2 linked regions of the Nothobranchius furzeri genome follow. The protein of the gene in region 2 binds, or shares a complex with, the protein of the main gene of each other region. Links are inferred from orthologs where the notes say so. Each region holds a gene or a part of one and is shown on either strand. Other genes may lie near its edges. The genes, in order: ppp1r8b and c17h9orf78.

The links.
Region 1: c17h9orf78 (region 2) and ppp1r8b share a complex: the UniProt entries of both Homo sapiens proteins name them as parts of the spliceosome. The link is inferred for Nothobranchius furzeri from reciprocal best matches to the Homo sapiens genes C9orf78 and PPP1R8.

The regions. Positions count from the first base shown.
Region 1 is NC_091745.1:72,000,209-72,004,625, reverse strand, and holds the start of ppp1r8b (protein phosphatase 1, regulatory subunit 8b), read right to left. Parts: upstream 3,115-4,417; 5' UTR 2,909-3,114; coding exon 2,859-2,908; intron 2,408-2,858; coding exon 2,347-2,407; intron 2,123-2,346; exon of another isoform or gene 1,957-2,122; intron 1,908-1,956; coding exon 1,754-1,907; intron 1,663-1,753; coding exon 1,445-1,662; intron 1-1,444. UniProt on the Homo sapiens protein: Inhibitor subunit of the major nuclear protein phosphatase-1 (PP-1). It has RNA-binding activity but does not cleave RNA and may target PP-1 to RNA-associated substrates. May also be involved in pre-mRNA splicing.
Region 2 is NC_091757.1:40,165,720-40,170,050, forward strand, and holds c17h9orf78 (splicing factor C9orf78 homolog), read right to left. Parts: upstream 2,931-4,331; 5' UTR 2,832-2,930; coding exon 2,752-2,831; intron 2,596-2,751; coding exon 2,536-2,595; intron 2,397-2,535; coding exon 2,345-2,396; intron 2,258-2,344; coding exon 2,187-2,257; intron 2,069-2,186; coding exon 1,991-2,068; intron 1,176-1,990; coding exon 978-1,175; intron 903-977; coding exon 766-902; intron 692-765; coding exon 587-691; intron 483-586; coding exon 385-482; 3' UTR 46-384; downstream 1-45. Other genes in the region: NFU1 iron-sulfur cluster scaffold homolog, mitochondrial, read left to right, coding at 3,000-3,058, 3,651-3,751, 3,947-4,082. UniProt on the Homo sapiens protein: Plays a role in pre-mRNA splicing by promoting usage of the upstream 3'-splice site at alternative NAGNAG splice sites; these are sites featuring alternative acceptor motifs separated by only a few nucleotides. May also modulate exon inclusion events.

The sequences.
Region 1 (4,417 bases), on a different chromosome or scaffold from region 2:
GAGAAAATGCAGTAAAACTCTAGTATTTAAGGCTTTTTGCTTCCTTTCAACTTGAAGCTTAATAAACAAAGTCAAAATGCTGAAAAATCAACAGTAAAAAGCAAACAAACAAAAAAAAAAAGAAAATTGGAGATGTCGGGAAAAAATGTGGTGCAGTTAACTCATTCACTGCCAATGACGTCGTCATTTGCATTTTTTTACTGTTTGAGCATCGGCACGAGCCCCCGCCCTGAGAGAACAAACATCTCAGCCCTGAAGCTGATCTTCATCCGCATACGTCACATATCACGTGATCAGGAAGCAGAACATCCATGTGTTAGGAGATCGTTTTGGGCCGTTCCTGTAAAAAAAAGTGAGGCGCGAACCGGAAAAGCGTCTGCCGATCACAATTCGACAACGGATTATGAAAGAACGGATAATGCTCGAAACACACGGCTTCTTCCTGATGTAAGAGGTGAGTCTCCTCTTTGTTTTTGGTTGTTTTGGCATTGACATCATGCTAGCGCGCAACGTTCTGTGACTCTTAAAAAAAATCATAAAAATGGTGAGAAACGCTGGCAGCGAAGGCCGTTACCCCCAAATTCCACTACCTCCATTCCGCTCTGGTCCGGTCCGCCCCGCCTTCCGCAGCCGCTCGCTTCCAAACTCAATTTTTACTGGTACCCGCTCTACAACGGCTCCGCTCCGGTGCGGAGACCTGAGGTGGGCAAACAAGCATGCACGGGATTTTCGAGATCTTGCGATACAGTCCGAGCAATAAACGCGGAAGTTAGATCCAAACACCCGTTGTGTGGGAGAAGCATCGGCATGAACTGTTTAATCTGCCCATCATTTGTGTTGAGAGATCAGCAGTGTTTGGATGAACAAAGTGTGACTACTTTGATAGTAGAAACTGTATTTATGGCTTACTTTTGTGCATTTAAACTTCAGCCGCCACTGATAGTTGTTAAAAGTTGTTAAACCTGTGCATATGAAACAAAAAACGCCTTTTTTTATCGATTTATTGTGAAAAACGGAAGTTGTGCTTGCTCCTTTTCCTGTTGGGCGGTTGTGATTTCTGTCCATTTACTGCGGAGGTGCTCCGGCGTCCGGCGAAAATAGGATCGATTCTATTTTTGCCGGACGCCGGAACAGAGGGCAGCGCACTGCGCCGCATTGCCGGAGCACGGCCGCAGTAGTGGAATTGCTCTGATTGACTACAACGGGACCGATTTTGCTCCGGCGTTCGTGTCGGAGCGGAGGTAGTGGAATTTGGGGGTAAGTGATCAGGAAACGGCTGGCAGTGAGTGAGTTAAAAAACCAAACACACTGAGATCATTTCACACTGTGGCTAATTTGCATACAAATAATTCCATTAAGATGCCACAAGCGCAAAACAGGATGTCAAAACAAGTCAAGAGTAACAAGCGGCGAGTCAGTGGAGCTGATCTGAATTCTAACAAACCTCCAACTCTGTCTCTTCCTCCGGAAGCCCGAGCAGTCCTTTTAGCTCCTCCTCATCTCCTGTCTTACTGTCGCCGGTGCCAGCGCTTCCTTGGGTTTGGGGTTTTTCTCTGATGGTGTAGGTACGTGTTGACGCCCCGAAGGATATTGTAGAGTCGATTGGAACCTGCTGAGGCTTGTGAGGCTCAAGGCGAATGTGTCCGAGGAAGGTACCATGTGCTTAAATTGTAAAAAAATAATAATAATTAGGATTAATACATTAAAAGAGCAGAGTGACTGAGAAATAATTAAAGTGTTTGTGAAATCTTACTGCTATTAAGATCTATAAGGAAGAGCCTTTTTAGGTGTTTATGGTAGACTAGAGCGGCGTGAACACGCGAGCACGACTGATGGTCGATGGTGAAGTCACACCAGTCGGGGTTCCTACCAAACAGGTAGAACTTCTTTTCATCTATGATCAGTTTCTACAAGGAGAAACGGATGGTGTGAATTAGTAATGGCGTACATTAATGCATTTGTGCCTCTGAGTTATAACTCAACAGTGTTGCTTTCCACTGAAGGGCTTAAATCTCAGGGCTGATGTTGTTCTCGCACCTTTTGAAGCCATGCAGTCATAGGTTAACCCCATTGTGCAACACGCACAGGGCGGAGCAGACTGTCAGGCTTGTATCTGGTGCTTTTAACATTTGTACAATAGTAACAATCACATGTGTGTTCTGCTATGTGGAAAACAGAATCATTAGATGTTTAAAATAATAAGGAATGACATTTTATTGTGGAATTTGCTTATGTTTAAGAGATTAAACAAATCTGGATTTTTAACTTAGAAATTAAATAGAACTGAGATAATTAAAGCTGATTTTAAAGAGTCCAAACTAAATAACAGTTTAAATTTCCAGTTACCTCAACCAGTTTGTCTCCTTTCATCACGTCTAAGTGCAGTCCTGTGGGCGGTTTTCCTCCCCTATAAGAAACAATTAGAGACTTATTTAAACACTGAACTGATCTCAGAAAATACAGCAGTGCATAAATATATTTACAGCATATTTAACCATTTTATAATCTAATTTTAATTCATTTATTCAAACATTTAGCTCTTTTCACTCGAACCGAATACTTCAAGAGCATATCTGTCAAAAAATGTCCTGCTGTCACCTCTATACGTTTCAACTAGGTGAGAAACTTTTAAAATCAAGCCTTTCATTCATTTTCAAGCAGAAAGCAAACCGTGATCCGCATTTAGGCTAGCCTTGTAGGAGGGGTTAGCCTGCTAGCTCGATTGGATGCTAACGCTAACGAACTTCTTTCCTCTATAAAAGTTACAATTGTTAACGTAACAACGTCGTTTTGCTCGTTTGCACATAATCAAGCGCTGCAGTTGGTATTTTAGTACTTCAACATGTGCATTTTCTCACCATGATGGGCAGTCAAAAGGTGGACCGTCTTTGCTTGTTTTAGCTGCCATCTTCCCTCTACATGTTAACGATGCATTTTGGGTAATTGTCGCTTAGGAATGCTGGGAAATGTAGTCCGGTAATAGACCACGCCATATTAAAAAAAAGTAAAAGTACAAAAAACAAGCTAATATTTCGCATTTATAGATGTGGTTGTGTGTGGAACTTATATATTGTTGAGTTTATGATTAAATTCGGGTTTTAGAGTTAGTATGAAGTAGTCTACTAAAAATAATAAAGAAAAAAGTTCAGGTAAGTCACATTTATAGTTCATAAAAAACACTAATTTTATCATCACAAATCTACTACTGTGTGTAAAGTTGCAATTTGTTATCAAAAGAGAACATTAACGCGCAACAGGGGCGGAAACAGCTACTCACCTAATAATGATTAAATAAAAACAAATTATATAATTTCAGTCCAATTCTGTTAATATTAAAACAATAGACCTTAAATGATAAGTTTTTCTTTATACTGGAAAGATAATGTACATCATAACAACATAGTTTTGTTTAATGTAAACTGATTCTGTTTATATGTTTCAGACAGATGGAGGTGACAAATTTTACTTTTACTTAAGCAGCTTCTCTTCAGCCCAACAAAAACACAAATCAAGCACACGCAAGGGTGCCCCCAAGGGTGGCCAGGGGTGGCCATGGCCACCCCTAGAAAACAGCTTTTTAGTGCATTTTGTGTGACACAGCCAGATGTTTTTATTTTAAAACTTTTAACCTTTATTTAACAAGACAAAGTATTTCTTACAACTGTGGCCAATCCAAAGGTAGTGCCTTTTGACAGAAGGATGGGCTAAATTGCAAAAGTTACCTTTTCCACAAAAACAAAACAAAAACAATATTTTACAAGAACATCTAGATTGAGATGACTTACGGTTTTCTGTTTGAATAATTTAAGTAGCCCAAGACATTTGAGCAGATTCATTCAGATGATAATTTTAAAAGCCACTATTTTATTATTTGATAAAACCAGGCCATTTGTTTAACCAACAAGGATTTATCTCAAAGTCCATTTAGAAATGTTCATTAAAAAAAATTAACATTAAAAATTTGTTTGGTGTTTTTTAATGTTTCAAATAAGAAAAAAAAATGTCCTTTTTGTTTTAAGAGATATTAACATGTATTTGTCAAAAATGTGGCTTTTATAAAATTTAAAGTTCCTAAAGAAACCACTGGAGGTCTCTGAACTCCAAATTGCAAATTCTCAGTAAAGACCCAAAAAATAAAGTTTTGAAAAAGTTTGAAATGTTGGTTTGGAAACAGCGATACCACAAGCCTCCTACAGCATTTGTTACAAAGATTCAGCACCTAGAGTTTAACACAGAAAAGGGATGAATAAGTAGCCAGATTCGACTGACGCTTTGCTTATTTTCTCTTTCTGATTTGTAAACTGTGGGTTTGAGGGTCATAGGCTTCGGTCTTGTCATAGAAAAAGTAAAGCTGCCATACTTTTAGTTTCTCTTTAAAGCAGAAGGAAATGAGCCTGCAGTCTTTTTGTCCTTTTAC
Region 2 (4,331 bases):
AAATTAGCTACTTTTTATTTTTAAGATAAACATGGCAGCCAACAGTTCAGCTTTGGGTTTTTTATTGCTTAACGTCTCATTTTCAAGCAGCTGCTCTAGTTATTCCATCTCATTAGCTAAGTGCATCACTTTTAAACTTTAGTATGGTTCTTGTTTTAAAAAAACAAACCGAGATATATTTTTACACACTTAATAATTGAACAGCCAGCTCTAAAATACTGTAGACTTAGAGTGAAGCTAAAGCTGCTGACTTGTTTGAAAAACCAAACAGGAAATCACACAAATCTGGAGCTTCAACATTTTGGTCAACAAATGTTTTCAATAATAATTAGCAACGGCTCACATTTTCAGATGCCATTGTGTGGAGGAAACAGATGCAACTTTTTAATATCTTCGGTTCATCTTCTTAAACTTCTCGTAGTGGTAGTCATCCGTGGCCTTCTCGTTGTTTGGACGTTTGCGTGGGTTCGGTGGCGACGGAGCTACGGACAGACAAAAGAAACGAGTACAGGTTTTGGTTTCTGGAAAAAAGGAACCAAAAAGTGTTTTTGGTTTGTATCTGTGACTGTGTGGTCGTGTCTCGTACCCTCTGGGCCTGGCTTCTCTGTGTCGCCCACTCGCAGCGGTCTTGCTTTGGGCTCTTCTCTGTGTCTGTTGTGCCTTTGTGGTGCATTTGCATCCTCATGGTAGACTAAAAGAAAACAAAAGCATGATTAACAAACTTTTCTCCTCTAGCTGGAACGGATGCAGACAGCCTGAACTCACAGCGGTTATGTTGGACATAATTAACAGCAATATTCGTGGGAACAAACGACGTCCCGAGGTCTTTCTTCTTGTTCCTTTGCTCTGCCAGAAGTTTGGCTTTTGCCTCTTCTGTCTGGATAATGTTTTTAATCTTTGCACTGAGAATGAAACGACAGGGATTAATTTGAGTAAAATAAAAAGAGCTGAATTATTAAAGAATCTTCTGAATTTACTCAATGCCAAGGTCAACCTCCGGGATCCCACTCAGCATCTGATTGGACAACATCTCCTCTGTCTTCTTGGCAGAGTTCACTCGGATGTTCTCAGGAAGTTCGTACAGGTGGTCCTCTGCATTTTTCACCTTAATTTTCTGTTCCTCAGCCTCCACCAGGCCTTTCTTCTTTTTTAACTCTGTCTCAATATATTTCATCCTGTAAAGAAAAACACAATGGGAAATGTCCCACACGAACAACTGGATGGCAGCTACGTTAAGATTTTGAATACTAACTTGTAGATACTTAAATATTTAGTAACAAAGTTCATGTAATTCAAGAATTGAGATTGCTTTTCCAACTTTCTTTAGTAGAATAAAAAGCCTTTTCTTAAAATGCTGAATGAAGCCAGCCAGTAACATGCTAACAAAAGTTCCAACACCATTTCATCTCAGACAAAAGCAGTCTTTGTAGTTTGACTGATTTTACAGTCAACATTAACAGCTGGTTAATTCAGGGGTTGGTGCATAAATTGTTTTGTTGAGCAAAATTTGATTTCTGACAAATACTGACACTATTTTAGTTGTTTAAAGAGATGAAAACCCAGGTAAACACCAGTGTTATTTCTTGTCCAGGGCAGCCATTGTTGGACCAAACTTGTTTTTAATTTGTTTTCTTTGTGGAAATTCAACTTTATTATGTATGATGGAATATTTTTTGCCAGACGGAGGAAATCAACTGAACACCTTCCTTTTAGGGCTGGGCGATATGGCCTAGATGGGGCTGTCACATGTGTTAGGTTGAGTCACATTTTGGCTCAGGGTGGTACAGCTTCTTAAAGGGACATGAATGTTGACGACCTACACACACCTCTTAATTTTTTTATTATTGAATTTCTTGACATGAGAAAAATTATCTCAAAAGTCAGAAATTTCCGTTAGAGAGGAAAAAAACAGAGCACAATTTAAATAGAGGTTGGACAATGTTGAGTCTGAAGAGGAAATGATTATAATACAGTTTAAAGAAAAGCTCACATGTCTGCATCTTCATCCCTTCTGTTGGTCTCGGCGGAGAATGAAGTGCCCAGGCTGAGGTCGGTTTCATCTTCTGTCCTGTTAATGAATCATCCTGGATGAGTCAGTCATATCCGATTAACTGGATTTGGTTTAATTGTACAAAGCATTCAGGCAGGTATCTATGTTGCACCTGAGGGTGGAAAACTTGACTCACATGTCTCTATTCCTGTCTTTCACTTTCTTCATGTCTACAACTCCTCCCGTCTTCAGTTTGAAAGGATCATTCTGTCAGAAGTGATCAATAAAAAAGTAAACGTTCAACATGTTGCTATTCAACACACACACACATTTTTTTTTCCAAAGAAAACTTACATCAATTTCGACTTCTGGAGGCAGTTTCTCTCCCACCAATAAAGCTGTCACACTAGACAAAAAGTAAAAGGTGTAAGTTAATTCACATCCAAGCAGTTAAGTATTGACATTAAGCACAACTAATTGCTTCTGTGTGAAACGTGCTACATAATAAAGATGTCTTCCATTCTACATTCATATTAACATGTTACCTGACTCCGCTCTGTCGTTTCCTCAAACTCTGAAGTTCTTTAGCCTCTTCTACTTTTGATCTAAGAAAAAAAAATACAAAAGCACAAACATATTTAGGTAGGCAGCTTATTAAAATACAACTAACAACAATGGCGTTCTGTTACTTTAATTTTGGGTTAGCGGCTAGTTTGCTAACACAACATATATCTTAACAACTCGTTGTTCGAGTATTTTACCTGACTTCTTCTGTTGTTTCATCCTCCTCTTCATCATCCGACGAATCTTGTCTTCTTCTAAAATGCCTACCACAAGGCATATTTAGATAGTTTAACGTAAATATTTGAAGAAGCAGCGCCTTACTGCGCGTAAGCTTGACGCTGATAATTTCGGGGGGAAACTTTAACAGACGTACAAAAATATTCGTCACTTCCGGAAAAGTATAATCTACTTCCGTTCTTCTTGAAGGATCACAACCATAACAATCATGGCGGCTTATAAACACGTTAGCGGGTTGTTGGGGATTTCTGCTAGACTTTCACGACCGTAAGTGGATATTTTGCAGGATTTTACCTTCTATTGTGTTTAATTTTTTTTCTTTTACTTTTTGCAACATGTGAGTCATTTCTATGCGACTGTGTTTAAGCTTGTTGGTTTAGTGTGGAATGACGCAGACTAAACATTAGGTCTGGAAACGAGGAATGTTTCATTACGATGTTTTTTCCCATCAAAAATGCCCTTAAAGTAAAATTAACACTAAACAAACCTGCATAAATGTAATAAATTTTTATCTTGCATCCATCTTTTTGATCATTTTTATTTAGTAGGGGAAAAAATACAAATCACCAGAACAAATGTGCAGAACGCGTTTTTAAAGCGTGCTGAAACAACTCTGTCATCGCGCCATTGCCTTTTTATTAATGTTTTGCTTTCCTTAGTTATAGCATTTGTATTTGATTTGGTGTTCCTGTTCAGTGTAGGAGCTTGTTCGCACATCTTCTAAACAGGAGTTTACCCGTCTTATTATTGCCACATTTTAGTGACGGTAAAGAAATCGTCCCTACACACAACAGCATAATATTTTTTATAATAAAGAATGTTTTTTTTATATTACTGTTTATCTGTTCATTATTTTCAGTCTTGTTGGCAGTGGATGTCAGAGCAATGGATTCCACTGGCCCTCGCAAGCTACTGGAGTTTCAAACAGATGGCCACAAAACCCCTTCTGGACTGTTCCTGGTTTGTTTATTTGCTGCAACCTCTAGTGTGACTTTTTATTAAATAAGAGTGATTGTCTTTTATTGTCACGTTTTCCACAGTGATGTCAGATGCTTAGGTGTTGTGAGAAAATCGGGCATTCTGCACATGCAGAAAATGACCACAATTCTCTTGTAGCCCTTTTTAAAAATTTGCATTACATTTTTTATGTTACAGGAAGGTCCATGTTTGTGCAGACACAGGATACTCCAAATCCAAACAGTCTAAAGTTTTTGCCTGGGCGGACAGTTCTCGAAGAGGGAACCATGAATTTTGCAGGCCCTCGTGATGCTTACTGCTCACCTTTAGCCAGGTATTTCCTAATACAAGATTACTAATCTCATATTAACATATCAAGTTGTTTCCTTACTCTGAGCAAACTCTGTACCAGGGGGTACCTTGTTGTATGTTTGCCAATATATGCATATTGTATCCACTTAACTGAGAGAGGCTTGTCTAAATGGTGGAAGCAACATTTTTTACTGTCATCTTAAAAATGTAATAGTTTATATATATATACAGTTTATAAATAGGAAAAGGTAGTATTTAGCTTTTAGTACAA